Nothobranchius furzeri: one gene and its partners. The protein of the gene in region 7 binds, or shares a complex with, the protein of the main gene of each other region. Links are inferred from orthologs where the notes say so. Each region holds a gene or a part of one and is shown on either strand. Other genes may lie near its edges.

Region 1 (4,263 bases), on a different chromosome or scaffold from region 7:
AAAGGTGGTACCATCCTGACCATGCGCCGGCACATGCATACTCTGTGCATTCAACTGCCTCTCTTTTTTAAAGGCTAAATATTTTTTTGTTAAGTGTTCTATTCTAAGCTTCTGTTGATTAATTGACTATTCCATCCGACAACGTTTCAAGCGAAAAAAAACTGGTTTACTGCTAAAAAATATGAAATAAAACAACAAAATTATCAGGCTGAAGTATATAAAAGGCTCAATAATATGCATTATGGTTTCGTCCATCATGAACAGCCCCCCTCCTTCCACTCTCACTGAGACTTCTTTGCTTCGTTCAAAAGAGCCAGTCTTTTGAGCGGCCCTTTGAAGACGTAATTATTTTTATTTTTATGAGCTTTACTATCTATTTGTGGTATAACGGTTTGTGACTAAATGCATTATGGGATACTTTTCTGGTCCAAGTCCAAAGATGGATACTTTATTGTAATGGGTGAAGGACGAACACATCCAGGAACTTTGAGCGTACTTGCCATGATGCGTACTTGGTATTGGAACAGTACACGGGCTAACGCCAATGACATTTCACAATTAATATAGTACACACGTTTAAACAAGTACTCATATTGCAAAACAGCCTATAACTTGTTTTTTTTAATTAGTCTAAACCTTTCTCTTTCTGTGGTCTTTGGTGATTGCCAAGCAACACTTCCTAACCAGGAAGCAACTTGGTTCGCTCCCTGCTAGCCAAACTATCTCTAAGTATCATGACAGTGCTATACTTTCTCATATTTATGCCATAATGTCAAATTATTTCTTTATTATGTGACAAATATTATGAAGGTTAAAAGAAGGCGATTGTGTTTATGAACACCGGGTTTTAGTGAATCAGCTTGTGAAATATGTGTTGCATTATTTGGTTTGTGTTGTGAAATTCTGTTCTCGTTTTAGGGGCCAAAAAAAGAAAATGTAATAAGTGTATTTGAGCAGGTTTAATGAGTGAGCCTGGAGGTCTTTAATTTTGTTTATTTTTAAGGTTTACTTTTTAAAATAAAGTTCAGTAGATGTATTTTTCTTCACAAGCCATTAATTATTCTCAGCTCTTTCAGTTATTTTAATGACTATTATCTATGAAGGCTCCCTTACTGATGCTTATTTTAAATTCATTTTATAAACAGCTTTGGCAACAGTTTTATTTTTTGTCTTTGGTGCATGATGTTAGTTTCTATTTTTAATGTGTGTTTTATATATATATATATATATATATATAAAAAATAGTTACTTTCTAAAATTTTTGAGACCCTAAATGTGTGTATTTTCTATGAACACTTTGTATTCCATGTTTATACCTTTAGTATATTTATATGTATATGAAATAAATCAAATAATAAAAATAATTGTGGCTTTGTTTTGAATTTGTTGTTAATGGTTAAGTGCCATACAACTAAAAATATCCCAGAAAAAACTATCAAATCAATTCAAATGAAACTTAGTGATTTTGATTGCCTTTCAAGTTTTTAATTAACATTCATTTATTTGCTGTCTTTTTTTGTTTAGGAATGTCTGGGTCTTTAGTGTAATCAGAGTATAACAATTTTTTATGTAACTACAAAAACAGAAGAATTAGTTTATTTTTACTTTAATTTATTTGATCTTATTTTATTTTGTTGGGTTTTACCGGAAGAGGCGGGCCTTCCCTTCACAACGCTCTCCCAGCGTTGGTCATTCAACATGGCAGCGGGACCAATTTCAGAAAGAAACCAAGGTAATTTCATTGTTTAAATGGTTTAACGCTTACACCTTCATTATTTAGCGATATCTCTTGATTTATAACAATTGAAATTCTTATCCGCTCTTTCCCACCAATGTTAGCTGTCTAATTAGCCCGTGTTTTGGGGGTAAATGCGTACTCAAACACATGGAAGTCTCCGGTCTCGTTAGCCTAGCTTCTAGCTAAGTTAGCCGTTTTTTGTTTATTTTAATTGTATTACTTAATGCTTGTATTACTTAATGCTTGACTTCACGATAGCATACGGGAGTTTTATGTTGTTTATTTGAAATGCAGAGATTATTCCAAGTCAGGACTAGAACCACTAAACAACTAAAGTTAGCCTTAAAAACTCGCGACATTAGCATGTAGCAATGCTCACCTATCAATGTAAACACCGTTTTCCTTAATAGGTATTTTCTTGTGTTTCCAGATGCCACCGTGTATGTCGGTGGTTTGGATGAGAAGGTGTCAGAGCCGTTGCTATGGGAGCTTTTTCTGCAGGCTGGCCCTGTTGTCAACACACACATGCCCAAAGATCGGGTCACAGGTCAACATCAAGGTGAGAATCAGGCTATTCAAGATGGGATGAAAGTCCTAAAATTCACTGTAACAATGTACATAACAAATGAAACTGTTCCACTCAGGTTATGGATTTGTGGAGTTCCTCAGTGAGGAAGATGCTGACTATGCCATTAAAATCATGAACATGATTAAGCTCTACGGCAAACCGATTCGCGTGAATAAGGCCTCCGCCCACAACAAAAACCTGGATGTTGGCGCTAATATCTTCATCGGGAACTTGGACCCGGAGATCGATGAAAAACTGCTCTACGACACGTTCAGTGCTTTTGGCGTTATTCTACAAACTCCAAAGATCATGCGAGACCCAGACACCGGCAACTCCAAGGGTTACGCCTTCATCAACTTTGCCAGCTTTGATGCGTCCGACGCCGCCATCGAGGCCATGAATGGCCAGTACCTGTGCAACCGGCCCATCACTGTGTCGTACGCGTTCAAGAAAGATTCTAAAGGAGAACGCCATGGCTCAGCGGCAGAGCGACTGCTAGCTGCACAAAACCCTCTCTCGCAGGCAGACAGGCCACATCAGCTGTTTGCAGATGCTCCGCCCCCACCATCTGCACAGACGCCACTCCTAACCGCAATGGGCCCCGGGATTCCTCTTCATGGTATGACTGCTCTAATCTTAACTGCCGATAAAGAAGTACCTTTCTACATTTATTGGGTTAATTATATAATAGTTTTGTTTTTTTTTTTGCGCAGGTTTGCCGCCTCCTGGTGCCTTTCCTCACGTTCCTCCCCCTGGATCAATGCCTCCAACGATGCCCCCTTCTATGGGCATGCCTCCATCAGCAGGGACACCAGGTCCTCCATCTTCTCTTGGTGGACCTCCAGCTGTTCCTCCACCTTTCGCACCGGCCAGCATGCCTCCAGGTATAACTCGGTTGCAGAAAAGCCTGAAAATTTAAGTCTCTGCTCCCCATTTTAGCTTTAAGAAGTCCAATAACGATTAATAAAATTGTGCAGGATCAACCTCAGTCATCTCCTTCAAATGTGAAGAAATAAAAACAATAATGTTTCAATTTAAATGTCAGGTTATTAAAATGCAGCTGTTAGCCCTGAATGAGTTATTTTTATTTGTTTGATCCGGGCCCACAGGTATGCCTCAGATGCCCATGCCGCCTGCTCCTCCTGGCATGGTGCCTCCACCTGCTCCACCAGGATCGGCTCGAGCTCCACCGCCCCCCAGCATGCCCCCACCTCCTATGGGCATGCCTCCCAGAGCACCGTATGGACCCCCCATGGGTGAGCACTGTGGCATTTTCTCAAAAATACAATTTTTTTTAAATGAAAGTTGTTTTTAACCTGTTATTTCTTTTTTTTTTTTTTTTTTTCCCAAGCCCACCCTGTGCCTCCAGGTATGAGAGGACCTCCCCCCATGCCTCCTCCCGGCTATGGTGCCGTTCCTCCTCGTCCACCTCCTTTTGGTTTCCAGAGAGCACCTCCAATGCCACCAAGACCTCCCGGTGCCCCTCCTCGGGTCCCTTGAGAGCACCAAGAGCTCCGTGATCCACGTCAGACCACAGGAACATTCAGCTTGTTGTTTTTTTAAATACATGTTTCGATCTACTGGATTTTGTTATCTTGGAAGTAATTTAACCAACTGTTTTTGATTTATGCTCATTGTACAGATAAACAGAAAATTGGCAAATAAACATTTTAGTACAACTTTTGGATATTTTTGCGTTTAATTATTACTAATAAACTTGTAATGTACCAGAAATTAGTTTATGAGTAAAAGCTGCATAATAAGCAGGTGAGAGAGTAATATGTTCTAATTTATGTCCAAAAGGTATTTATAACTTGAGGCAGGGGCCCCAGTAGGTCATATACTCTCAGGTATTATGGTTTTATTTAAAAAGTAAAGTGATATTCCCTACTGTTGGGATTAAAATCCAAAAATATTTTTAAAAGAATTTTTTTAAAATGTTTTCTTTGGACATTTA
Region 2 (3,500 bases), on a different chromosome or scaffold from region 7:
CAGGTCATCATCAGTTTGTGATTTTGTAGCCTCCTTTAGCTCCCTCAGACGAGCGTCGGCCACACCGATGTTTACTCTGTTTCTAGCTCTTTGCTTCACTGACTCTCCCCTCTACAGACGACGACGATGATGGGAGGGACATGGATGCCACCAATTCCTCAGCGCTGATGTCTGAGAACGACGAAGATGGTCTGATGTCTAAAAAAGATGTAAGTCCCATCTGCACAAAGCTCAGGAGCACCTAGTAGTGACCAAGTTTGATCCCGTTTTGAGTTGAACAAGCAATTTTTTTTCTCTCTCAGAAAAACCGCAAGAGGAGGAACCGCAAAAAGAAGAGCAAGAAGAAGCGAGCTCAGGAGAAGAAGGAACAAGCTGAGCAGCAGCAGAAGAAGGGAGGTGGTGAGAAGGAGAAGGAGAAAGAGAAAGGGAAGGAGCCAGAGGTGGAGATCGAGTACGTCACAGATGAGCCGGAGATCTACGACCCGAACTTTATCTTCTTCAAGAGGATTTTTGAGGCTTTTAAGGTGATTTTAATCAGCAGCACAGGTTCAGGTGTGTCTCTGTGTTGTTGTGATAACACTTTCCTGTCCTTCCTCGTTCCTAGCTGACTGATGATGTGAAAAAAGAGAAGGAGAAGGAGCCGGAGAAGGCGGAAAAGCAGGAAGTTTTAGGCGTTCTGCGAAAGAAAGGATTTGAGTTGGAGAGGAGAGACAGTGATGACAGCGATGAGGTACGAACTCGGTCATTTGAGCTTTCTGGTGGGTAAAAACATGTTGTGCCCCTTTAACGTCCAAAAACCTCACAGGAAGTCAAACAGGATGTTCCTAAACTGTCCAAGAAGAAGCTGAGGAGGATGAACAGGCTGACAGTGGCTGAGCTCAAACAGGTAGAGCAGCTTCCTTCTAGTTGATGTTGTAGTTGGTATCAGAGTCTTTAGTCACAAATGTTCCTACGTCCAGCTGGTGGCCCGACCCGATGTGGTGGAGATGCACGACGTGACGGCTCAGGAGCCCAAGCTGCTGGTGCACCTGAAGGCCACCAGGAACACGGTCCCTGTGCCGCGCCACTGGTGCTTCAAACGCAAGTACCTGCAGGGCAAGCGAGGCATAGAGAAGCCCCCGTTCCAGCTGCCGGAGTTCATCAGGAGGACGGGGATCCAGGAGATGAGGGAGGCTCTGCAGGAGAAGGTGGGTGTCAGCGGGACCTCTGCCTCCCTCGCCCTCTAGTGGTCACTGATGGGAGCTGTTCTGCTTGCAGGAGGACGCCAAAACCATGAAAACCAAAATGAGAGAGAAGGTTCGTCCCAAGATGGGAAAGATCGACATCGACTACCAGAAGCTCCACGACGCGTTCTTCAAGTGGCAGATCAAGCCCAAGCTCACCATCCATGGAGACCTCTACTACGAGGTATGGGACCACTCCTCTGGCTGCTCCTCACTTAAAAATCATCTCATGGCGTGTTTTTGTTTTTAGGGTAAAGAGTTTGAAACGCGTCTGAAAGAGAAGAAACCAGGAGATCTCTCTGATGAGCTGCGGATCGCTCTGGGGATGCCCGTGGGACCGGTAAGCTGTCCTCTTCTGTTAACATGTGTGATGCTTCTGTTTGCATCACCATGGTAACATGGATAGTAGCACGCTCAGTGGAGGCTACTCGTAACGAGGTGTTAAAATGGTTTCATGACTCAGCATTTTTGTGTTGTTTCTTGTCCATCAGAACGCCCACAAGGTGCCCCCCCCCTGGCTGATAGCCATGCAGAGGTACGGCCCCCCTCCCTCCTACCCCAACCTCAAGATCCCTGGACTCAACTCGCCCATCCCAGATGTAAGAGTTCATCGTGGTCTCCTCTGGTTGTGTTTGTGTCATGCTTCCTACTAACTTCCTGCTTCCGGGTGTGTTCCTGATCACCAGAACTGTACGTTTGGTTATCACGCCGGAGGCTGGGGCAAGCCGCCGGTGGACGAGATGGGCAAACCGCTTTACGGCGACGTGTTTGGGACCAACTCCGCTGACTTCCAGGTCAGAAATAAAACAGCTTTACACACAAAATATAAAAAAAGGTGCTAAATGAAAACCAGGGCCTGCTGACATCATCAGACTTTATTGATTCCTTCAAACTCTGATGCTATCACAGCCTGGCGGAGTCTAGCTGGTGGTCATTTTTATTACGTTTTTGTTGACAGATTAGGAATAGAGTTCATGTTTTAGAGTTTAATATAAAAATCAAGCTGGAACAGTGAGATCAAAGCCAGTCTGGTTGATGTGATGCTCTCTAAAGCACTTTGTTTATTATTTTCAGCTTTTAGAGCCCAAATTTACAAGAAAGAAAATCATGTTTATCATTGATTCTGTTATTTTATTTCATTTTTTTTTTCTAGCTGTGTAAAAGTGTGTTTTTGTTTGCGCGCGTGTGTGTGCGTATGTGTGTGTGTCCCCAGGCTAAAGCAGAGGAGGAGGAGGTGGACCGCACGCCGTGGGGAGAGCTGGAGCCTTCAGATGAGGAGTCATCAGAGGAGGAAGAGGAGGAGGAGAGCGATGAAGAGAAGCCAGATGAAACTGGATTCTTCACACCAGCTGACAGGTCTGAATGCTGTTAAAGAACACAGTTGTGTGACTGGTTAGACTGGGTTAGATTTACCTGATCTCTTGTGTGGGTGTAGTGGGTCTGTGTCCTGTCAGCATCACCCTCTCCCAGACGGGTAGGAGATGAAACAAATCTTTCCTTTTGTTCCTCAGTGGGCTGATCACACCTGGAGGCTTCTCGTCGGTGCCCATCGGCACGGAGACGCCTGAGCTGATTGAGCTGAGGAAGAAGAAGATCGAGGAGGCCATGGACGGGTGAGTGTAGCAGCTTTTCTGCTGCCTCCATCCCCTTTAGTTCATCGTTTTTACTGGTCGATGCATCAGGGTTCTCAGCAGGGAGACAAAGGATGTGTCCATATTCAGGGACAGCGTCCTCGTTAGGACCTGCCCACACGGGTCAGGTCGTTCCTCATCCACTGAGACTAGAAGAGAACGGCTGTTGATGTAAACCTTCTGATCCTGTCGCCTAGCAACTTCCACGGTGCCAAACAGAAGCTAAATCTAAACTTCTGAACACATAAAGAAATACGCGGCCTCACCATATCGGCTCTTTCACGAGGGGTTTTCTCATCGTTTTTGATGAAAATATATTTGAAAATCAGACATTCAAACAAACAAATCCTGACAAGACCACTGAAGTTTTTAGTTTTTGTACCACAAGAGGTTAAAATGCTTCCATCCTCTCCTGCTTCGCCCGCCATCGTCGCAAGGACCAGAATCTCCCGTGCATGAACTCTGGGATGGGATGGGCCGGTAACGATGCGTCCGAATGAGGGTGATGGGGAAGGTGCGCTGGCCTATTCTCCTCCGTCGTTGTCTTCTTACTTCTTAAATCAACCTTTTCGGGACTTTGCTAAGACGTCAGGACCATTTTGGCAGTGAGTGATGTCACTGATCAGTGCATGCTGCCAGTAAAATG
Region 3 (4,166 bases), on a different chromosome or scaffold from region 7:
AAGCATATTTACTTTACATCATCTCCAGCCTCGTGTCATCCTGGGTTTCTGCATATTTGTGTCCTAAACATCCTCAAAACGTGACATTAGAAAGGACTTGGTCCTGATGTTGCTGCTATGCAGGCGGTTTCTGATGGTAGAAAGGACTGTTTTCCTACTGAATGTAGTGTGCACATTTACCAAGGTGTCCTTTTTTAGGTGTTTCACGTGGTCTTGCTGGGGGGGTTAGAGTCTTTAGGGGACAGAGTTGAGTCAGAGCAGTGTTAAAGATGCATTGTTCATGTGATTTACACCTGGTCACGGCCTCGGTGAAGACCAGATGTGATGTTCATCTCCCAAGCTTCACCTTAGTGCCTGTTTGAGTGAAGCCCAGCATAAGCCAGTGCTGCAACATCCGTTACCATGGCAATAACCTTTTTCTTTTCCCTTTTTCTAATTCAGTTGTTTCGTTTGTGCATAAAAAAGGCTTTTAAAAAGTCTGCTGAGGTTTCAGAGGAAAATTAGTTGCAGTATCAGTGTTTTGTTTTTTATAAATATTAAAATTAAAGGTGCTGAAAAAACCTGATTGATGCTCAAATTACTCGAATAGGGAATAGTCTCCAGGTGTGCTACCGCATCCAATTTAAATTTTTACTTCTTGTTTTTAAGTAACTCTATCTTTATGCTCCTCTCTACTTGACTCAGCTGGTTCAGCCCTACGTACCTGGTCGAATTCTTTGGTCAGCAGACCTGTTACAGGTCCCAAGAGTTCGGGTGAGGACGCAAGGAGAACGAGCCTTCTCAGTCTGTGCGCCTCGTCTCTAGCAGTGACGGCTCATTTTTATTCCTTAGCTTTTACTTCAGCCTAGCTAGCATTTTACGATGTTTTTGTTTTGTCTTTATTGATTTTATAGTAGTTACTGTACTACTTTTATTACTTCTTCCAGTGTGTTGATTTTTATGCTCATTTACTGTGCAGCACTTTGGTTGGCCTCGGCCCTGTAAAAATGTGCTTTAAAAATAAAATGGAATGGAAATAGTGCTCCCTTCAATTCTGGAACCAACTGGTATGAAGAGCGAGAAGAACATTTTAGCCTAAATATTTTTTCATGTTTTAAAAAAAGTGCACTAACACTTGTTTGCTATACAGTTTTAAATGTTATTTTATTCGTATTCATTATATTGAAAGAAACTCTGGGATTTTTTTACTGAGTTGAGCTTAAGTATAGGTTCTGTTCAGTTCTTATGCATCTTCAGTTATCAGCCTCAGCAGCCAGTATTCAAATAGCATTTCTGTAAGAATGTCATTTTTCTATAGTTAGGATAATTGTTCCAGGCTGGTTGAGGTTCTTGTCCGCCGCTAGAGGGCAGCACCGTTATAAGGATGTATCTGTAGCCTAATTCCAAACCGGAAGTTCGATATATTTTTACCGTAGCCTCCATTTTGAAGTGAAAACAGCGTGTTTGTTGTTTATCTGCGTTATTTACACGAATTAAATCGTTACGATGGCTATGCAAGCAGCAAAACGTGCTAATGTAAGTGTAATGGAGCATATAAGGGGACAAAGGAAAGGCTAATGTGAAATGTAAGCTAGGTTTAGCTCTGAGGAAGCGTCTCAAAGAATTAGCGCACTACTAGCAGGTTAGCAAATTGAAAACAGTCCTCAAAACCTGAAATCTTCAAGCTTTATATTCACTTTAGTTATACTTACCATTTGAGGTCATGTGTTTTTTCATCTTTTGTTTTGTGAAGACATAATCCTCGTTGGGATATCGTCAGGCTAAGAATATTTGTTCCTTCCGGTACGGAAACAAGGATAAGCTAATGCATGTAATGATTAAAAGTAGCCATGTCTATTGTTAAGTGACTTACGTAGTCTTAAAAGGCCTCAGCTAGTAATCGTGTGTACTTATGTATCAGGTATTTGAGTTTTTACCCAGGTTAGTTTTGTTCCCTCTGAATAGTTTAATGATGTGTTTTAATGGTGTTGTAGATCCGATTACCTCCTGAGGTGAACAGAATCCTGTATATAAGGAATCTCCCCTATAAGATCACAGCTGAGGAGATGTACGATATCTTTGGAAAATACGGACCAATACGACAGATCCGAACGTAAGTTTTCAAAAAGTGTGTGTGTGTGTGTGTGTGTGTGTGTGTGTGTGTGTGTGTGTGTGTGTGTTATTATGAAGTCATTTTCAGAGTAAAAGAAAATTTTATGTAACAAAGCCAACTCTGCATTTAAAGCAGCCTTCACAGGATAAAAGCCACACATCGCTTCACGGTAAACATAAATAAAACAAATGTAAGTAAAACAGGTTTAAGTGTATTTAGAGAGCTCACGTTGAAGTAACAGTTAAGAGTCGTAGAGAAAGCAGCAAAGACAGAAAGAAAACGATCTTTTACGTAGCGCCTCTCAAAATAAAAATCACAAGGCGCTTCACAAACAAAACAACTAGAAAGATGTCAAAAAACGATTAAAAATATGTTTAAAATGAAGATAAGTAAATTGTGATTAAAAATAATAATGTAAGGAATGGGAGAGAGAAAATGAATAGGAAAGAGGGAAATGAGTGGATTGCTGGGAAAGGCGGAATACGTAGAAAGAGCCGAATAGGGAGAGGGTGGTGACGAAGGTCACACCAAAGCCAGCTTGAACTGGTGAGTTTTTAGCTGCTTTTCATAGGAGACCACCGAGTCCACTGATCTCAGGCTCAGAGGGAGAGAGCTCCAGAGTCTAGGGGCCACAGCAGCAGATGATCTGTCACCTTTGGTCTTTAGCCTGAAAAGAGATGAACACAGAAAAGGAGCCACCTTCATGGACGTTGTTTCTGCCTGGAGTTGATTGGTTTGTTGACACAAATTACATGACAAATCCCTTAAAGAGCAAATTGCAGGTTAGAGACTCCCATGAACCAATGTTTAGAGAAGCATAACAGAAACTCGGTTTAGAAGTTTTTTACACAGTAGAGACGGAGCTGCGCATCTGACCCCGGAAGTTGTTGCCCGTTGCCAGGAGACGAAGGCGGGCAAAACAGGAAAGGAATCTAGTAGCGGACGGACATTGTTCTGGGTCTTCGGTATTTGGTGGAGATGTTAGTGAAGGCGGAGAAGAGGGTGGACTAGAGGAAAAACAGGCAGGTTCCACCTCTATTTACAAACTCCTGGGGATGCAACAAGTGGGCGTGGTGCGTCGACCACCGGATCTGACGTCGACGAATTTTTAGAATCGAGCCGTCGACGTCATCGATGCATCGCTACAGCTCTACTGCGCATACCTGTAGTTATCGTCCATTTATCGTTATCGAGGTGAAATCCTCAATATATCGTGATATTGATTTTGAGCCATATCGCCCATCTCTAACCTAAAGGAAGACCCAGGATGCGCTGGAGGGACTACGTCTCTCAGCTGACCAGGGAACACCTTGGGATTCCCCTGCAGGAGCTGTGGAGGGAAGTCTGTGCCTCCCTGCTTAGGCTGCTGCCCCGTGACCCGACCCTGGATAAGCGGCCAGAAATGGATGGATGGATCAGCTAAGATAGTTTGATGGAAAAACAAAATTTGTTATTTTTGTTAACAACAAAAACTAGAGAGCGATCAGTTCACCTTTAATAAACATGGCTGCTGCTGCTTCAAGAGGGTCGGCTCCTTTCTGTAACACCGGTGTGTGAGCAGCAGACTCCTCCTAATATCCAGGCGGTGTCCTCTGGCTTCGGTGTGGAGTAGACCTACTTTAACTTTGAAACTTTTATGCTAGTCGCGTGTGTGAGAGCCCTGCTTTGGGTCTGGGACCCAGCACGTCCTTCTGTTATTCTGTGAGGTGGTACCAAAAAAAAAAAAAAGTCAAAAATGATCTTTTTCCCTCAATCCGTGTCATGTGATTTAGATACAGAGTCCCAATCCAATATTTCAGCAATCCATTAAATTAAGGAAAAAGTAGAAAACATCCAAGTTTTCCATTTTAGGTATTTTTATTATTTATTTGTAAGTTGGAACGGAATAGAAACGTTATCTGTCTAAACGGCTAGAGAAACTCGTCTTTTAAAAAGACACAACTTCCTGTTTCCATGTCATTTCCTCAGTTGAGCTGCTGAAACCATTCAGGAAGAATATTGATCAGAAACATGTTATTACTACAAATATGTTTAGTAATAGTCTCATTCCTTATTATTCAAATAGTTTAGAAAG
Region 4 (4,084 bases), on a different chromosome or scaffold from region 7:
GCTCCTCCAGGGGAATCCCAAGGCGTTCCCTTGCCATTCGTGTGACATAGTCCCTCCAACATGTCCTGGGTCTTCTTTAGGTCTCCTCCAGGTTGGACATGCTCAGAAAACCTCACCATGGAGGCATCTAGGAGGCATCCTAATCAGATGCCTGAGCCACCTCAACTGGCTCCTCTACACCGAGCCCCTCCGGATGACTGAACTTCTCACCCTATCTCTAAGTGAGAGCCCAGAAACCCTGCAGAGAAAACTAATTTTGGCTTCTTGTATCTGCAATCTCGTTCTTTTGGTCACTACCCAAAGCTCATGACTAAAGGTGAGGGTAGGAACATAGATCGGCCGGTAAATCGAGAGCTTCGCCTTCTGGCTCAGCTCTCTCTTCACTACGACAGATCGGTACAACGTCCGCATTACTGCAGACACGATCTCATCCCACCTGTAAATCTCACTCGCCATCTTTCCCTCACTCGTGAACAAGACCCTGAGATGTATAAACTCCTCCACTTGGGGCAGGATCTCATCCCTGGACCCAGAGAAGGCATTCTACCCTTTTCTGACTCAGGACCATAGTCTCGGATTTAGAGGAGCTGATGCTCATCCCAGCTGCTTCACATTCGTTTGTGAACTGCTCCAGTGAGAGACGGAGATCACGTTCTGATGAAGCCATCAGGACCATGTCATCTGCAAAAAGCAGAGACCCCATCCTTAGGCCACCAAAATGAATGCCTTCAACACTTTGGCTGTGCCTCGAAATTCTCCATAAAAGTTATGAATAGAATTGGTGACAAAGGGCAGCCTTGGCAGAGTCAACCTCTCACCGGAAACGAACCCGGCCTACTGCTGGCAATGCGGACCAAGCACTGACACCAGTCATATAGGGACCTTACAGCCCCTATCAGAGGGCCTGGTACCCCATACTCCCAAAGTACCCCCACAGGGTCCCCCGAGAGATGCGGTCCAACACCTTGTCTAAATCTACAATTAGTTTAAATCCAGACCCTAAAAGTGAAAGCAACAAAATCAATAAAAGTTGGGAAACAAAACCATAGCAAAAGAAATAATACAAACAATTGATCCAAAATTAAAGAGAACATATTAAATAAATAAACAAAAATGCAAATGTTTCATATCGTTTTTTTAATTTATTTTTCACATTTTAAATGTAGCCCTTTACTCCTAAATAAACTAATCTCTTAGGTCTTTATTATATGCTTTTATCCGCAAACGTTTGTTCGTCGGTCAGTTTTACTCCTGACCACTAGATGGCAATGAATGTTTGAAACTATTTATGAACTGCTTAAGCTGAGAACCAACACGCATGCGCAAAACAATTCTGTCCATCACAGTTTGTCGTTAGATTTGTTTGGGAGAACGTAAGTTTATTTATAATATTTAGCTAGTATTTTGTTGTGCAGTTCGCTGAGCAGTAACGCTAAAACATTGATTAGGCTATATTTAATTTCATTCTGATAGTTTGTTCATTTTGGTAGGTTTAAAACTATCCTTGCATATATGGTAGCACTGTTAGCATTGTCAGAACGACGTCCATCGATGCTAAATGCTAACAGTAAAATGTGCGCGAAAGGATAGTTCAATATAGGGATTTTCTAGTTATGTTATTAAAAATTAAGACGTTTCAACCTAGAATCATGACAAATTGATAAATTGATGAAAGGGGTGTCGGGAAGAAAGTCTTTATGATTTGAGTTATAGATTTAACACATACACGCATACATACATATACAGTCCTGACTAATGTTCACTATTAATACTACATTTAAGGAACTGTGCCGCTCAGATATTCATTCTGGCTGCTGTAACACATAGCGTTACCATTTTATCAGCAATTATATGAAAGTTGTTGAATTTATATTTATGATAGTGTTACTACGTGCATACTGCTTTGTACAGTACTTATAGTTGTGAATGTTTTCTACATTTGAAATAGCATATGTTTCTCAGTTTTATAGGGATGGTAAAAATAAAACACCAGGGGTTCAGTTTTAACTGAACTGGCTTTTTCTGTTTTTTGTTTTGTGTTTATTTGAAGAAATACACGATACATTATGTTTGGTCTGTCCCTTTGATGCTATATGTTTATGTTGTCTTTAGACTGAGTTCATCACTTCAAAAAAATGGATTTCCAGCATCGAGCTGGAGGGAAGACTGGAAGTGGAGGGGTGGCGTCTGCCTCTGAGAGTAACCGGGACAGGCGTGAACGGTTACGTCAGCTGGCTCTAGAGACCATCGACATCAACAAGGACCCCTATTTTATGAAGAATCATTTAGGTTCTTATGAATGCAAACTTTGTTTGACACTTCACAACAATGAGGTGAGGAGGCACTTAACGGATTGGATTGGGCTATGTTAGAATTTTTGATATTTGGGAATTGTGTTTCTAAAGAAAACCCTCTACTTGATTTTAGGGCAGCTACTTGGCTCACACACAGGGAAAGAAGCATCAGACCAATTTGTAAGTCAACCTAAAACATTCTCTAACACAATTAATTGCTACTAGTTCAATATTTGTCAGTAAACATTTTCCTGTATAATTTTTTCTTTCTGAGTTAAATCTTTTCTATTTGGTGTTTTAGAGCACGAAGAGCAGCCAAAGAGGCAAAAGAAGCGCCGGCTCAACCAGCTCCAGCAAAGGTTAAAGTTGAGGTCAAGAAGTTTGTCAAAATCGGTCGACCAGGATACAAAGGTACACTGGCTGCATGGTTCTATATTAGATCAACATTATTTGGCTTTTTGTAACAACTTTTGATCCTCGTCTTTCTCTTTTTTTCACAGTGACAAAACAGAGGGACCCAGAGACTGGTCAGCAGTCTTTACTTTTTCAGGTGAAAATAAAAAATATATTTTAATTCTGGAAAAATCCTGCTGTGTTTCTGGGAATCTGAGACACTTGATAATAGGCTTTATGCTTTATTGTTCGTGTGAAACCAAAGTTAAATGCCATCATATGTTTAGCTCCACTTTAATTATTTTCCAGCCCAATATAACAGTTTTGCTCCCATTGTATGACCCCATTGTGGACACCACTTGAAGATGCGTTGCAGATACAAAACAAACTCCTATAGTTCCTATCAGGGCAATAATAACCAGATGTTACAACATCTGACAAGTTGTTTTTATTTCCCATATTAATCAGATCGACTATCCAGAGGTTGCTGAAGGAATTGGACCCAGGCACCGTTTCATGTCTGCTTATGAGCAGCGTATCGAGCCTCCTGACCGTCGCTGGCAGTACCTGCTGTTTGCTGCTGAACCATATGAAACTATTTCCTTTAAGGTGGATGAAAACTGTAATTTTTGTCATTGTGCTCATGTGTCACATTTCCGTAACATTAAAATGTTTGCTCCTTTAAGGTCCCCAGCAGGGAAATTGATAAAGCAGAAAACCGCTTCTGGACTCACTGGAACAGGGAAACTAAACAGGTACTGACTCTGCTTTGTTTTTACTAAAAAACTAATTTAAAAAATTTTCTAATGTATGAATGTTTTGTTTTCGTTCAGTTTTTCCTGCAGTTCCACTTTAAAATGGAGAAAGCCATTTCTGGTGGTCCAGCTCCTCCTGGCAACTTAAAGCACCCCGCTTCACTTATGAGTGGCCACCCATCAAACGACGGTCTTCCACCTCCACCACCAGGAGGGATGTCTGTTCCTCCTCTGCCACCCGGGGCACCAGGTCCCCCCCAAATGCCCCCACAAATGCCCATGCCCCCCATGCCAATGAGGCCACCTCCCCCAGAGGGCCTTATGCAGTGATAATTTGCTGTTAGAAATTGCATTGGTGGTCAGTTGTTCTGCTCTGCCTGTTTTGTATTTTTAGGATGTTGGATATCTTCAGTAGATTTTCATAACTTTGTTTGCCTAAAAATAAAATTCTAAAGCTAAATGTTATGGAAACATTATCGTCCTCTTGTAAACTAATATCTGGACACATTTTTATTTCTTATGTCCATTTTTTAATTAAAATACACAAATACTGAAAATACCTGAGTGTTTGTTCTACAAAAAATACAGAGAATTATCTGAAGTTTACTCTGATCAGGTTAAAATAAAACAAATCAACAAAAT
Region 5 (3,241 bases), on a different chromosome or scaffold from region 7:
AATATCAGGAACTAAGAGTCCAAATCCTCCGTCTGAAACTCAACTCTGCTCTGGCTCACTTTGAGTTTCTGAAACTGGAGCTTCAGAGCTTTTTTCCTCAGAGATTAACTCGTTTATACCAGAGACAACAGCAAATGTGTTGCTTAAATGAGTGAATTTGGTCTTAAAATCATTATTTCTTAATATATTTCAGCAAATCACCCTGTATTTAATCAAAACGTGAGTTAAATTTATTTCACTTTTTTCTTTTTGTCAAACAGCCGTTCTCCTCAGCGTGAGAAGAAGAAGAAGATAAAGAAGTACTGGGATGTCCCTCCGCCTGGATTTGAACACATCACTCCCATGCAGTACAAAGCCATGCAGGGTAACAAGTTTGATACATTTATAGTTGGGATGTTATCCATCGCGGTACTGAAACCTCTATGTGATGTAGATATGATGGTAGTGTGGTAAAATGGAAGATTATAACTTTGTGTTTCGTGTTTTTCAGCGGCAGGACAAATTCCAGCCACCGCCCTCCTGCCGACCATGACCCCAGACGGCCTGGCTGTAACCCCCACCCCCGTACCTGTGGTGGGCAGCCAGATGACCCGGCAGGCCCGCCGTCTTTATGTTGGCAACATCCCCTTTGGTATCACAGAGGTGAGAAACAGAAAAGCATATTTCGGTTTGGATAATATCGTTTTAATGACCTTTACTCTTTGTGTGTGTGTGTGCGTGTGCGTGTGTGTGTGTGCGTGTGTGTGTAGGAGTCCATGATGGACTTCTTTAACGCTCAGATGCGTTTAGGTGGTCTTACTCAGGCCCCTGGAAATCCTGTCCTCGCTGTACAGATCAACCAGGACAAGAACTTTGCCTTCCTTGAGGTGAGAAACATCCCGTGATGGTCATTAATGATCCTCAGGAGCAGGGTTAGGGAACCCTGGTCCCGATCCAACACGTTTTAGAGGTTTCCCTGCTTCAACACATCTGATTTTAAACAGCAGGCTATTAACAGGCTTCTGTAGAGGCTGATGAGCTGCTAAACTGGTGAATCCTCTGTGTCGGAGCAGGGAAACCTAAAACGTGTTGGCTGGCGGCTCTCCAGGACCAGGGTTCCCTACTCCTGCTCTGAAGTATTCCTGAACTCTCGTTGGATCTTGTTTGTGTGTTTTTAAATGTTTCTGTTCAGTTTCGTTCAGTGGATGAAACGACACAGGCAATGGCCTTTGATGGCATCATCTTTCAAGGCCAAAGCCTTAAAATCCGTCGTCCGCACGACTACCAGCCACTGCCCGGCATGAGCGAGAACCCCAGTGTCTATGTGCCTGGTACACAGACAATTAATGGTTTTTATCCTTACATTTTGCTACAAGTATACATAAACATTTGATCACTCAATATCCACGTGAGCCTCTTCTCGGGTTCCTCAGACTCGTTCTTGTCCTTGCACATTTTGCAGGAGTGGTGTCCACAGTGGTCCCAGACTCGGCTCACAAGCTCTTTATTGGTGGATTGCCCAATTATCTGAACGATGACCAGGTCGGTGTTGCAGTCTAAGTGCCATCCTGGTGCTTAGCATTCATGTGTGTTTTCTTATTGGTGACATTTTGGTGTTGAAATGAACCGAATGAAATAAAAAGTTGACATTAATCTTGTTTGCTTTAGTTTCCATCTAAACTCGCGTGAACTCTCGTGTTTCAGGTGAAGGAGTTGTTGACGTCGTTTGGCCCTCTGAAGGCCTTTAACCTGGTAAAAGACAGTGCCACAGGCCTATCTAAAGGATATGCCTTCTGTGAATATGTTGATGTCAACCTGAACGATCAGGTAACGGGTCCCAGCAGGTACGTCTGTGGTGGAACCTTTCTGGAAACGGGTCACTGAGCTTTGGCTGTCTGCACAGGCTATCGCTGGACTGAACGGCATGCAGCTCGGAGACAAGAAGCTCCTGGTGCAGAGGGCTAGCGTGGGATCCAAGAACGCCACTCTGGTGAGGCTCCAGCTGCTGGGTGAATGACAGCAGAACGGTGGGAGGCTGGATGTCGGTTCTAAAACGGACCGAGACAGATTGCTGAATAGATCTGCTGCAGCTCCTCGTCTGTTCAGTTCTAACCAGGACAAATATACGTCTTTTCAGCCAAGTCGTGTACTGAATATGAAGCTGTGCGCTTGTGTTTAGGGTGGATCTATGGCGGTATGCAGAAGCCTGAACGTGAAAGTCTTTGTTGTTGTTTTTTCTCCAGACAACTATAAACCAGACCCCGGTGACGCTGCAGGTGCCGGGTTTGAACAGCTCCGTCACTCAGATGGGTGGCCTGCCCACTGAGGTGCTGTGCCTGATGAACATGGTGGCCCCCGAGGAGCTCCTGGACGATGAAGAATATGAGGAGATTGTGGAAGACGTCAGGGAGGAGTGCAGCAAGTACGGCCAAGTGAAAAGCATCGAGATCCCTCGTCCGGTGGACGGCCTGGACATACCTGGGACGGGCAAGGTAGGCAACCTTCAGATTCTGATGTAAAGCGCTTTGATGGATCAGCAAATCATAACCGTGCCTCTTGTTTTCCCTCGCTTCACAGATTTTTGTGGAGTTCACTTCAGTTTTTGATGCCCAGAAGGCCATGCAGGGGCTGACTGGAAGGAAGTTTGCCAACAGGGTGGTGGTAACGAAATACTGCGATCCAGATGCTTATCACCGCCGGGACTTCTGGTAGAGGGGGGACGATGAGAGGGAAAGGGGAGGGAGGGGGGAGGGAGGGAGTGTAGCATGTACTGCCTGTTTCCAAATAGCCCTCGGAGTGATTTTGGCTGAGCAGCATTTCAGGTAGATCTCGGACTGTTAATCGTTTGGCGAACGGCTTTGGTGATGTCCGGTTAATTAAAGGAGATCTACGTGACGTGTTGAGCATTTAGCACCAGTGTGGCAGGGAGGAGGAGAGGAATGGCGTGTGTTTATTTTAAATGTAACACCGGGCTCGGTTTGGGGCGGTAGTCGTGTAGCTGGGTGGGTTGGGATGTGTATGAAATTTGAGAAATGTGTGTAATAACGGGGCCGGGGTGGGTCGAGAATTTTTTTTTTATACTTTGTGAGACATGGATGTTGTTTTTTTGGGTGGGAACAGGGAGCCACGCTTCAAAGGTTTGTATTTAAATGGAGTCGACCTGTTTTAAGTACATTTAGAGAGGATCTGCAGCACGGAGCTACTGGAAAATTCTGATTGAGAAGAGTTGGAAACTAAAAGGAGATGGTGTGATGGGCGTTGT
Region 6 (3,965 bases), on a different chromosome or scaffold from region 7:
ATTTTCTGGGATAGTTTTCACTCGTGGTTAACGCATAATAATTTCATTATACGCTCCTTATCTTCGACAGGCGGATTGGTTCGGCATCTGCAGTGATGCGGACGCTGAGCCGATCTGTCGTGGGGAAGAGGGAGCTGAGCCAGAAAGCCAGGCTCTCGATTTACCGGTCGATCTACGTCCCAATCCTCACCTATGGTCATGAGCTTTGGGTAATGACCGAAAGAACGAGATCGCGGATACAAGCGGCCGAAATGAGTTTCCTCCGTAGGGTGGCCGGGCTCAGCCTTAGAGATAGGGTGAGGAGCTCGGACATTCGGGAGGGACTCGGAGTAGAACCGCTGCTCCTCCGGATCGAAAGGAGCCAGTTGAGGTGGTTTGGGCATCTGGTCAGGATGCCTCCTGGACGCCTCCCCGGGGAGGTGTTTCGGGCATGTCCTGCCGGCAGAAGGCCCCCGGGTCGACCCAGGACACGTTGGAGAGGTTACATCTCCAATCTGGTCCGGGAACGCCTTGGGGTCCTGCCGGAGGAGCTGGTGGACAAGGCCGGGGAGAGGACGGCCTGGAGCTCCCTAATTGGGATGCTGCCCCCGCGACCCGGACCCGGATAAGCGGAGGAAGACGACGACGGCTCCTTATCTTTTTCTGACATCAAGTATGTTATTAGTTTGGAAAATAAAATGCAGCAATTCACTGTCAATAATTTGATTATTTTCGCCAAATTCTTTATACACAAATGTAAATTTGGCAATATCAAACCGATCTTTATTGTTTTTTTGAAAGAACTTGCATCCTTCATGGATTCTCTTAAATTATGTAGTTCCAAGAAAGCCATTTGGCTCTATAACAATTTGGTGAATGTTTCCTTTACCCCTAATAATGTTGTTTGATGTAATATATGTATATATTTATTTGGTTATGACTTCTGCAGGTTGATATTGAGCTAGGTTAATATTATTGTTTCTGTTTGTACACCTGCTTTTTTTTGTCATGCTCAGAATTCATCTGTAAATATTGATTCTTATGTAAGCCTGTAAGCTTCATTGGTTAAATAAAACTTGTTAAAAAAAAAAAAACAAAGAGCTCCATTGTGGGGGCTTGGTTTTAGCATAAAGCGATTCCAGTAACGGTAGGGGCCGGTAGTGAGACAACAACGTGACGTCTGCAGCACTCATCCAATCAGCACCGTGGGCGCCGTTGTAGTCCCAGCCCACATAGCATATCGCTCTCATGAGTGACAGGCGGGTTGCGGTTCTGTTTGCTCGGTTCTTCGGGAACAGGTAAAGTTATTGCGTTTTCTTCCCGCCGTAGACGGCTTGCTTGGGGGCATGAAAGCGGAACTTGCTGTGCCTCATCGTGTCGCTGTTTGGTCTGTTGAATCTTGTCGGAGCTAGCTGTGGTGTTAGCTGCAGCGGCTAACCCCGCGCATATTTTCCGCTGCTTAAACTTAACGTTTACATTGCCCGGTAAACCGATGGCTTGACTGAATGACTTCCGCTAACTAACCAATTGGCGCAGCCTTGACGCGGAAGTGAGGTAGTATTTTGAGTTTATTGGTCAGTTTTTCGGCGCGGCTAACTAATCGGCTAAGTTGTTTGAAAGCTATAGTTTCCGCGCGCTTGTCCGCGTGCACATGAAATAAATAAAAAAGATTAAAGTAGTCAGCTGCATGTTACCGTTTCCGCTAATATCAACATCAACTCATGAGGTTAAGTAAGTGTGTGTGTGCGCGCGCGTGTGTATAAGAGGCACCGGACTCCATCCGTCCTTCTTGTTTTTAGAATACAAAGCGTGGTTTTGGTGATCCATTGGTTAACTGTGATCCGTTATCAGACTAGTGACTTATCAGAAGCTTGAACACACTTCGGCACCGGAGCTACCGGACAGAACACTCACTCTGGATCCACAGACCGGATCATGTCTTCATGACTGTTTGTAATCAAATTCATGCTCCTGGGCAACATGAGCTGAAACCTTTACTGAATTAAACCAATTACCATACCAAATTTATTTATAAAAGCACAATAAACAGCGTGAGAGCTGACCACAGCGATGTACACCACAAAACCACACAAAGACCAATAAAACTAAATTAAACAAATACATGTAAAACACATGAACTACACACCACAAAAGTTTGACTTCAGTCTGCTAGTGAAGTAAAGGTCTGACTGCATGTGGTCTAAAGAACAGGAGAAGCTTTTCATGTTGTCTTTTCTTAGTGGGGCGGGCAGGTTTAGTTTATGTGGTGACGTATTTGGGCTCAGACCTTTACTAAAACCAGGGTTTCTTAGACTTTTAACTCAGCTTTGTGGAACAGACCTGTGGATGCGACAGGTGTGTCAGAGTAACTCTGCAAGTGGAGGAGCAGTTGAAAGCTGAGCTTTGCTCTTATTTAGTTAGCTGTAAGCATAGCATCATAAACCTGGTGTGTTCTTTCAGGATCAATTAAACGGGGACTCAAAGCAGCTGTGCAGACATGAGCGACGCGGCGGAGGAAGCGATGGACAGCTCCGTGGGATCTGAGGAGGACGTTGAGGATCAGCAGGAGACAGTGCTGGAGGATGAGACGAGTCCAAACAAAAATAGCTCCAAGAAGTCTGGTGAGGAGAGTTGTCTGATTGCACTGTCACTCGTGTTGGGTTGTTCCTTTCTGGGTTCTGTAAAGGTTTATTTGTCTGGAACAGCTTCAGCATGCTGACATGTTCTTTCCGTTACAGCTGTGGGTGAAATCATCGAAGGGAAGCGAGTGAAGAAGACTGTGGAGAGACTGGATCTCCAGGCGCCAAAAACCAAAGAGAAGTTGAAGATCGGAGATGGTGTGCAACAAAAGAGGTTTAGATGTGTATGAATACAAACCAACAGCTGGTTAACATCTGGTGTTTGCAGGCAGTGGAGATAAACTAGGAGACATCCCTCGAACCAATCATCAGATCACCAGGATGAAGCTGGTGGATCTGAAACAGCTGCACATGCTCCTGTTTGACAGACCGGGAAAGGTACAAACAGCTGAACCGAACCCAGAAAACTGACCTGAGCACAGCTCCAAAATCACCTGTTCATCTCCAACCAGAAAAGTCCCCATTCTGATTGATCAAGTACCCAATGACCACTTTTCAGTAGTTATTTACAGGCAGGTGTCAGCTGCAGGTGGGAGTTATTCATGTGTTCATGTTCAGTAATCCCACAGAAAAATATGTGAAGTAACAAAGGGGAAAAGCACCAGCTTCAGTCTTGAGTTCTTCATAGAAACACCCCAGAGTCAAACGTGAAACTGCTTTTTGTCTCTCAGATGGCCACACTCAAGAAGAACCTGCGGCTGTTCAACGGCTTCCCTTTTGACGTCGACAGCGAGCAATACAACAAGAAACGAGAAAAGCTTCTCAAGTAAGTTCCTGTTAGCTGCCTGACCCGACTGAAGGATAGGACCTACTGGTGATGGCCAGGTGAAGCTGCATGAAGCTTCCATCCCAGTGGTCCAGAAAGAGGCTGGAGATCACGCGTGTGTTTGGTGTGAAGCTGAGCAGATACATGAATGTTTGTAAAGCCAGATGTTTGTTTGGAGTTTTAATTATAAAAAAAGAGCAAGCAGTCTGGCACACACACACACACACACACACACGGAATAAGCAGCACTTTGCTGCTCTTTTTACATTCAGTCTCGCTCAGACCGATGATGCGGGTCCTGGGTTGGGACCATGGCCTGGCCTGCGAGGCTTTAGACACCACCACACATCAGCACAGGCCTGGACACAGGACTCGTCCCTAGCTCCCAGATGTGCAGATATAATTTATGGTTTGTGTTTGAGGGTTCAGTCAAGATCCTTCCATAAACATCCCGCGTATCGTTTCAGAAACTCCAGCTTCACCAACACCAAGCTGAAGGTTGTCTGCACTGTTCTGGATCTGGAAAAGAAAGGAACCCACTCTGATCTGATTGACCGGATTCTGACCTTCCTCATTTCCCC
Region 7 (4,298 bases):
CACCTATGGTCACAAGCTTTGGGTAGTGACCGAAAGAGTTTCTGGGCTCTCTCTTAGAGATAGGGTGAAAAGCTTGGTCATCCGGGAGGGGCTCAGAGTAGACCCGCTGCTCCTCCACGTTGAGAGGAGCCAGTTGAGGTGGCTCGGGCATCTGGTTAGGATGCCTCCTGGACGCCTCCCTGGTGAGGTTTTCTGGGCACGTCCAACCAGGAGGAGACTTAAAGGAAGACCCAGGACACGCTGGAGGGACTATGTCTCACCTGGCCAGGGAATGCCTTGGGATTCCCCCGGAAGAGCTGGTCCAAGTGGGTGGGAAGAGGGAAGTCTGGGCTTCTCGTCTTAGGTTGTTGCCCCCGCGACTCGACTCTAGATAAGCGGAAGAGAATGGTTGGATGTTTGCTAGTCCTTTGTCCTTACCACATTACACTTAACACACATAAACTAATAAATATTAAACATTTGAGAGAATAGTTTTCCAACTTTGATAGACCAAATTACGTTCATAACAACAGATTTAGAAGTATCAGGATTTTCATTCCTTTTATGCTGCATTCTGTTTTCTCTTTGCAACCCTCCACTTATTACTCATCCCTGCTGAAATTATTTTATAGACGTTACATTTTACACGTAAGGAAACTGTTTCAGATCCAGATGGAAGATTTACAATTACATTAAGAAATATAAAATTAAGTATTGCTAATGTTTGGTCCAAACACTGAGGACAGGTTTTTACAACACTTTCAGCTCACTCTCACACATGGTAGGAGGGGATTTCAACCAGGTCCCTAATCCTGACTTAGACAAATCTAACAGATGCTCAAACTTTCATATTTGTCAGTCAGCTGATAATGTATAAAGGATTTTGGGTTTTGTGAAGCTTGGCGTTGTAATCACCCGGCACTTCAGGAACACCTTCTCAGCAGATCACACAACATGCTGCAGCTTCTTCTTGTTCCTGATGGTAGCTCCAGTGTACCACACAGTGATTGAAGTGAGGATGGACTCAATGACTACGGTGTGGAACTGCCTCATCAACTGTGCTGGCAGGTTGAATTTGTTCGGCTGCCTCGGTAAGTTCATCCTGCTGGGCCTTTTTATGATAGAGGTGATGGTGGGCTCCCACTTGAGGTCTTGGGTGATGGTGGTGCCCAGGAAGTGACATGAGTTCCCCATCGTGATCGGAATGTAATTTATTTTTTCTAATTTTCATCATATTTTTAATGACTTTTTGAAGATTTTTTGTATTTTGAATGTTTTGTTCTTTTGAAGTGCCTCATAATGTTTATCTTGAGAGGCTCTATACAAAAGATAACTTTCTTTCTTTCTTTTTCTTTCTTTCTTTCTTTCTTTCTTTCTTTCTTTCTTTCTTTCTTTCTTGCTTTCCTGCTTTCTTTCTTTCTTTCTTGCTTTCCTGCTTTCTTGCTTTCTTAACGTCTATTCTATTCTTTTCTATTCTAGAATGTTCTATTTTATTCTGTTCTATTCTATTGTTCTATTTTATTATTATTATTGTTTCGGGTTTTTTGTAGCTGTTGGTAAGGGGGATTCTTTTGGGATTTGTTGGTGGTTAGTTTCCCGGTCCAGGCCCAGTAAGTGTCGGTAATGCACCTTAAAGTTGCTTACCAACCACCGTAAAACTCAGAAGAAGAAGAGGAAGAAGAAGAACAGTGAATAAACACACTTCCGGTGTTAGTCTTCAACAACCACCATCAAAATGGCGAAGATCGCCAAAACCCACGAAGGTAGATTATTGGAGAAATCTCATATCAGTTCTATATTTTATTGTTTTGTTTGTGTTGTTGTGTCGAGACATGTTTTTACTATGTAACTATAATGTGGACAGCGCGTATTCCTGTATGAATGTATGGTTTTAAAGGGGAGAAGTAGCAGGCCTGCTGCGGCGACACAACGCGGGCCGTTTACATAATGGCGCTGCTGCTAGCGCTGCTGCTAGCTTGTTAGCTTAGACTGTCTTCCTTTTGACGATGTATACACTTCAGCAAATGATATTAGACGTACTAATGAGTTTTAGTTAATCGCAATTAAGTGTTGTACTGTGCTCTATTGTCTTAATCATGTGTTTTTGTTCGGATAATAATACGTGATTTTGGCCGTCGTATGACGCAACTAGCACTTTTAACACCATCCCCATGCTACAAAGCCCAACCACCGGTAAGGAATCGCGTAGATTGTGTGGGTAAACATCGCGGCTGTAATAAAGAAAAACCTGTTTGCAGATGAGGTTAAAAGCTGCTTCTGAGATAAGTGTACTATCGGGGGTTGTAACTTTAAATTAACGTTACGAAAAGTGCTACGTTATTTATTCGAATCCCATCTGGAACCTTTAGGCCATTTTTTAAATGTATTTTGTTTGGCCTTTATTATGACCATGTTAATGTTTCGTTATCAAGAATGCCGCCTTCCAACAATATCAAGAATCAAAACGTTTTACTGAACATTGGTACAAGCGTATCAGATGACGCATGCGTAGATATCACCTTTCTAAACTTTTTCTAAACTGAGAAAAGTTTAGCATGGGGCGGATAGAGATTAGCCAATTATTCTACCATTCATTATCTCCTGTTTGATGCCTGATGTGCCTGCCCAGATTTAGGTTCATTAGAATTCCTGGGAGGAATGTATCTTATCCTGTTTGTTCTTGTTCGTTTCAGATATCGAGGCCCAGATCCTCGAGATCCAGGGGATGAAGGCCTCCCTGGTGGACAATGGAGATCAGGGGGTGGGATTGGACTCCACTGGCTTTTATGACCAGGAGATCTACGGAGGCAGTGACAGCCGTTTTGCTGGTTATGTCACCTCTATCGCCGCCAATGAGCAAGAGGATGTAAGTTTTTATTAGACTTGAGTCAAGCTTTTTTGTGGAGTTTGAGTACTCCTATGTGTTTGTGTTTTGTGTATGAGCTAGGAGAGTCTTGCTGGATTAGCAGGACTTGACTAGACTCGTGTTTCTCCTTTCTTCCACAGGACGATGATGAGGATACATCAACAAGCTTGTTGGGACAAAAGAAACAAGGTTACCACGCTCCAGTAGCGATACTCAACGCCATTCCTCAGTCAGATGAGCAAGTATGTGTTCATTTAAATTGTCACAGATATAAACTTTTTAACATTGTCTAGAAAATGTTTTTACATACAGACATTAACCTAAAATCTGCTTGGTTTTTGGATTTATAGTACGACCCGTTTGCTGAGCATCGTCCACAGAAGATTGCAGAGCGGGAGGATGATTACAAAGGCCGACGCAGACAGAGGATCATCTCACCTGAGCGTCTTGACCCTTTTGCAGATGGTAAAAATTGTCTTATTTTTTGTCCTAGTTCCACTTTCCCCCATTGTTACTGTTGTTAAGATGCCACCCCATGAGTGTTTCTAGCTTTATTTTTGAACCCTTCGACCACAGTGCAATAGATTGCCTCCCAGACTTGATACCTTCCCTGTGGTAAATCCTCTGTGGCCAAAAAAAACATTTTTCCTCATTGTTTTACAATTTTTCTACAAACGTCAGTGTGGGCTCATTGGGAAGTCTGGATTTGTGCTGAAAACCATTGTAGGGTTAACCATCCTGTTGAGTGGGAGAGGTTGTTGGGTGTGTCCTAACATGCGTGGGTTGCAGATGGGTTGTGTGTAGGTCGAAGGGTTGGCAGATCCTTGACGGCAAACATAAAAATATGACTTAGTTATGGTTCAACTGGCCTGCTGATGCACTGTGCTTTTTCATACTAGGCACAGCAGCTGTAGATCCTCAGGCAGACTGAGAAGGATAAATAATCAGAGGCATGAAGATGTGATCAGCATTTTAGAGTCACAGAAACTTGGTGGATTTGGGCTTCATAAAAGCCCTCAGGAACCCTGTTGTAAATGATCACACTTTAGTGTCTGGCGCTGCGTTTGTCACCTGCTAGCTCGTTAGATTTGAAATAATCTGCAGCCTCCGGGCTGAGTAGGCTAGCTGAATAATTTTTACTTTAAACAACATTTAAACATCTGTAGCTTGTTGTAATTTTCTGCTGCTGGAAGTAACCCACCAGTGGCAATGCCCAGAAGGCGTATGCTTTAGTGGTACTTGCCTCTTTACTTCCCTTGATGATAACAGCTGAGATAGGCTGACAGCTCCAGGGTTTATCTGAAACCTGCATGTAGAGAGAGCTCTTTGTACATAGTTGTTGTGTAAATATATTTTTATTTTACAGCTCTCTCTGTAAAATAGAAATATGTTATCAAAGAAAAGTTGTGTGCCAAAATACCACAGGCCCATACTAACTGTCCTTAATTTCTCT

Evidence for each region.
Region 1: sf3b1 (region 7) and sf3b4 share a complex: the UniProt entries of both Homo sapiens proteins name them as parts of the SF3B subcomplex of the 17S U2 SnRNP complex. The link is inferred for Nothobranchius furzeri from reciprocal best matches to the Homo sapiens genes SF3B1 and SF3B4.
Region 2: sf3b1 (region 7) and sf3b2 share a complex: the UniProt entries of both Homo sapiens proteins name them as parts of the SF3B subcomplex of the 17S U2 SnRNP complex. The link is inferred for Nothobranchius furzeri from reciprocal best matches to the Homo sapiens genes SF3B1 and SF3B2.
Region 3: the proteins of sf3b1 (region 7) and sf3b6 are in contact, whole or in part, in a crystal structure (PDB 2F9J), measured with the Homo sapiens proteins. The link is inferred for Nothobranchius furzeri from reciprocal best matches to the Homo sapiens genes SF3B1 and SF3B6. Residues at the interface, in NP_036565.2 of Homo sapiens: Trp388, Ile392, Arg395, Asn396, Arg397, Pro398, Leu399, Ser400, Asp401, Glu402, Glu403, Leu404, Asp405, Ala406, Met407, Phe408, Pro409, Glu410, Gly411, Tyr412, Lys413, Val414, Leu415; in NP_057131.1 of Homo sapiens: Arg12, Leu13, Pro14, Pro15, Glu16, Val17, Arg19, Ile20, Ala32, Met35, Tyr36, Arg46, Gln47, Ile48, Arg49, Val50, Gly51, Asn52, Thr53, Thr56, Thr59, Ala60, Tyr61, Val63, Glu65, Asp66, Ile67, Phe68, Tyr92, Ala97.
Region 4: sf3b1 (region 7) and sf3a2 share a complex: the UniProt entries of both Homo sapiens proteins name them as parts of the 17S U2 SnRNP complex. The link is inferred for Nothobranchius furzeri from reciprocal best matches to the Homo sapiens genes SF3B1 and SF3A2.
Region 5: the proteins of sf3b1 (region 7) and splicing factor U2AF 65 kDa subunit are in contact, whole or in part, in a crystal structure (PDB 7SN6), measured with the Homo sapiens proteins. The link is inferred for Nothobranchius furzeri from reciprocal best matches to the Homo sapiens genes SF3B1 and U2AF2. Residues at the interface, in NP_036565.2 of Homo sapiens: Ser336, Arg337, Trp338, Asp339, Thr341, Pro342, Ala343, Met346; in NP_009210.1 of Homo sapiens: Met383, Glu388, Glu394, Glu397, Ile398, Asp401, Val402, Glu405, Gln447, Gly448, Leu449, Thr450, Gly451, Arg452, Lys453, Phe454, Ala455, Val459.
Region 6: sf3b1 (region 7) and dek share a complex: the UniProt entries of both Homo sapiens proteins name them as parts of the B-WICH complex. The link is inferred for Nothobranchius furzeri from reciprocal best matches to the Homo sapiens genes SF3B1 and DEK.

The regions. Positions count from the first base shown.
Region 1 is NC_091759.1:1,629,860-1,634,122, forward strand, and holds sf3b4 (splicing factor 3B subunit 4), read left to right. Parts: upstream 1-1,463; 5' UTR 1,464-1,698; coding exon 1,699-1,732; intron 1,733-2,168; coding exon 2,169-2,297; intron 2,298-2,382; coding exon 2,383-2,925; intron 2,926-3,019; coding exon 3,020-3,190; intron 3,191-3,415; coding exon 3,416-3,562; intron 3,563-3,657; coding exon 3,658-3,806; 3' UTR 3,807-3,985; downstream 3,986-4,263. UniProt on the Homo sapiens protein: Component of the 17S U2 SnRNP complex of the spliceosome, a large ribonucleoprotein complex that removes introns from transcribed pre-mRNAs.
Region 2 is NC_091742.1:75,387,253-75,390,752, reverse strand, and holds part of sf3b2 (splicing factor 3B subunit 2), read left to right. Parts: intron 1-117; coding exon 118-209; intron 210-302; coding exon 303-524; intron 525-604; coding exon 605-730; intron 731-805; coding exon 806-886; intron 887-959; coding exon 960-1,187; intron 1,188-1,257; coding exon 1,258-1,407; intron 1,408-1,473; coding exon 1,474-1,563; intron 1,564-1,714; coding exon 1,715-1,822; intron 1,823-1,909; coding exon 1,910-2,017; intron 2,018-2,436; coding exon 2,437-2,579; intron 2,580-2,734; coding exon 2,735-2,836; intron 2,837-3,500. UniProt on the Homo sapiens protein: Component of the 17S U2 SnRNP complex of the spliceosome, a large ribonucleoprotein complex that removes introns from transcribed pre-mRNAs.
Region 3 is NC_091742.1:17,814,881-17,819,046, reverse strand, and holds the start of sf3b6 (splicing factor 3B subunit 6), read left to right. Parts: upstream 1-1,366; 5' UTR 1,367-1,485; coding exon 1,486-1,515; intron 1,516-1,973; coding exon 1,974-2,092; intron 2,093-4,166.
Region 4 is NC_091751.1:56,891,767-56,895,850, forward strand, and holds sf3a2 (splicing factor 3A subunit 2), read left to right. Parts: upstream 1-1,284; 5' UTR 1,285-1,373; intron 1,374-2,112; 5' UTR 2,113-2,135; coding exon 2,136-2,333; intron 2,334-2,427; coding exon 2,428-2,474; intron 2,475-2,595; coding exon 2,596-2,705; intron 2,706-2,794; coding exon 2,795-2,844; intron 2,845-3,155; coding exon 3,156-3,296; intron 3,297-3,373; coding exon 3,374-3,442; intron 3,443-3,520; coding exon 3,521-3,772; 3' UTR 3,773-3,999; downstream 4,000-4,084. UniProt on the Homo sapiens protein: Component of the 17S U2 SnRNP complex of the spliceosome, a large ribonucleoprotein complex that removes introns from transcribed pre-mRNAs.
Region 5 is NC_091745.1:76,211,802-76,215,042, forward strand, and holds the end of splicing factor U2AF 65 kDa subunit, read left to right. Parts: intron 1-260; coding exon 261-364; intron 365-490; coding exon 491-642; intron 643-749; coding exon 750-866; intron 867-1,171; coding exon 1,172-1,328; intron 1,329-1,441; coding exon 1,442-1,521; intron 1,522-1,683; coding exon 1,684-1,806; intron 1,807-1,882; coding exon 1,883-1,969; intron 1,970-2,222; coding exon 2,223-2,471; intron 2,472-2,556; coding exon 2,557-2,691; 3' UTR 2,692-2,741; downstream 2,742-3,241. UniProt on the Homo sapiens protein: Plays a role in pre-mRNA splicing and 3'-end processing. By recruiting PRPF19 and the PRP19C/Prp19 complex/NTC/Nineteen complex to the RNA polymerase II C-terminal domain (CTD), and thereby pre-mRNA, may couple transcription to splicing.
Region 6 is NC_091745.1:58,973,620-58,977,584, reverse strand, and holds the start of dek (protein DEK), read left to right. Parts: upstream 1-1,165; 5' UTR 1,166-1,277; intron 1,278-1,419; exon of another isoform or gene 1,420-1,533; intron 1,534-1,588; exon of another isoform or gene 1,589-1,710; intron 1,711-2,439; 5' UTR 2,440-2,476; coding exon 2,477-2,600; intron 2,601-2,717; coding exon 2,718-2,816; intron 2,817-2,886; coding exon 2,887-2,996; intron 2,997-3,289; coding exon 3,290-3,384; intron 3,385-3,851; coding exon 3,852-3,965. UniProt on the Homo sapiens protein: Involved in chromatin organization.
Region 7 is NC_091754.1:36,044,038-36,048,335, reverse strand, and holds the start of sf3b1 (splicing factor 3B subunit 1), read left to right. Parts: upstream 1-1,498; 5' UTR 1,499-1,714; coding exon 1,715-1,742; intron 1,743-2,672; coding exon 2,673-2,845; intron 2,846-2,985; coding exon 2,986-3,087; intron 3,088-3,195; coding exon 3,196-3,310; intron 3,311-4,298. UniProt on the Homo sapiens protein: Component of the 17S U2 SnRNP complex of the spliceosome, a large ribonucleoprotein complex that removes introns from transcribed pre-mRNAs.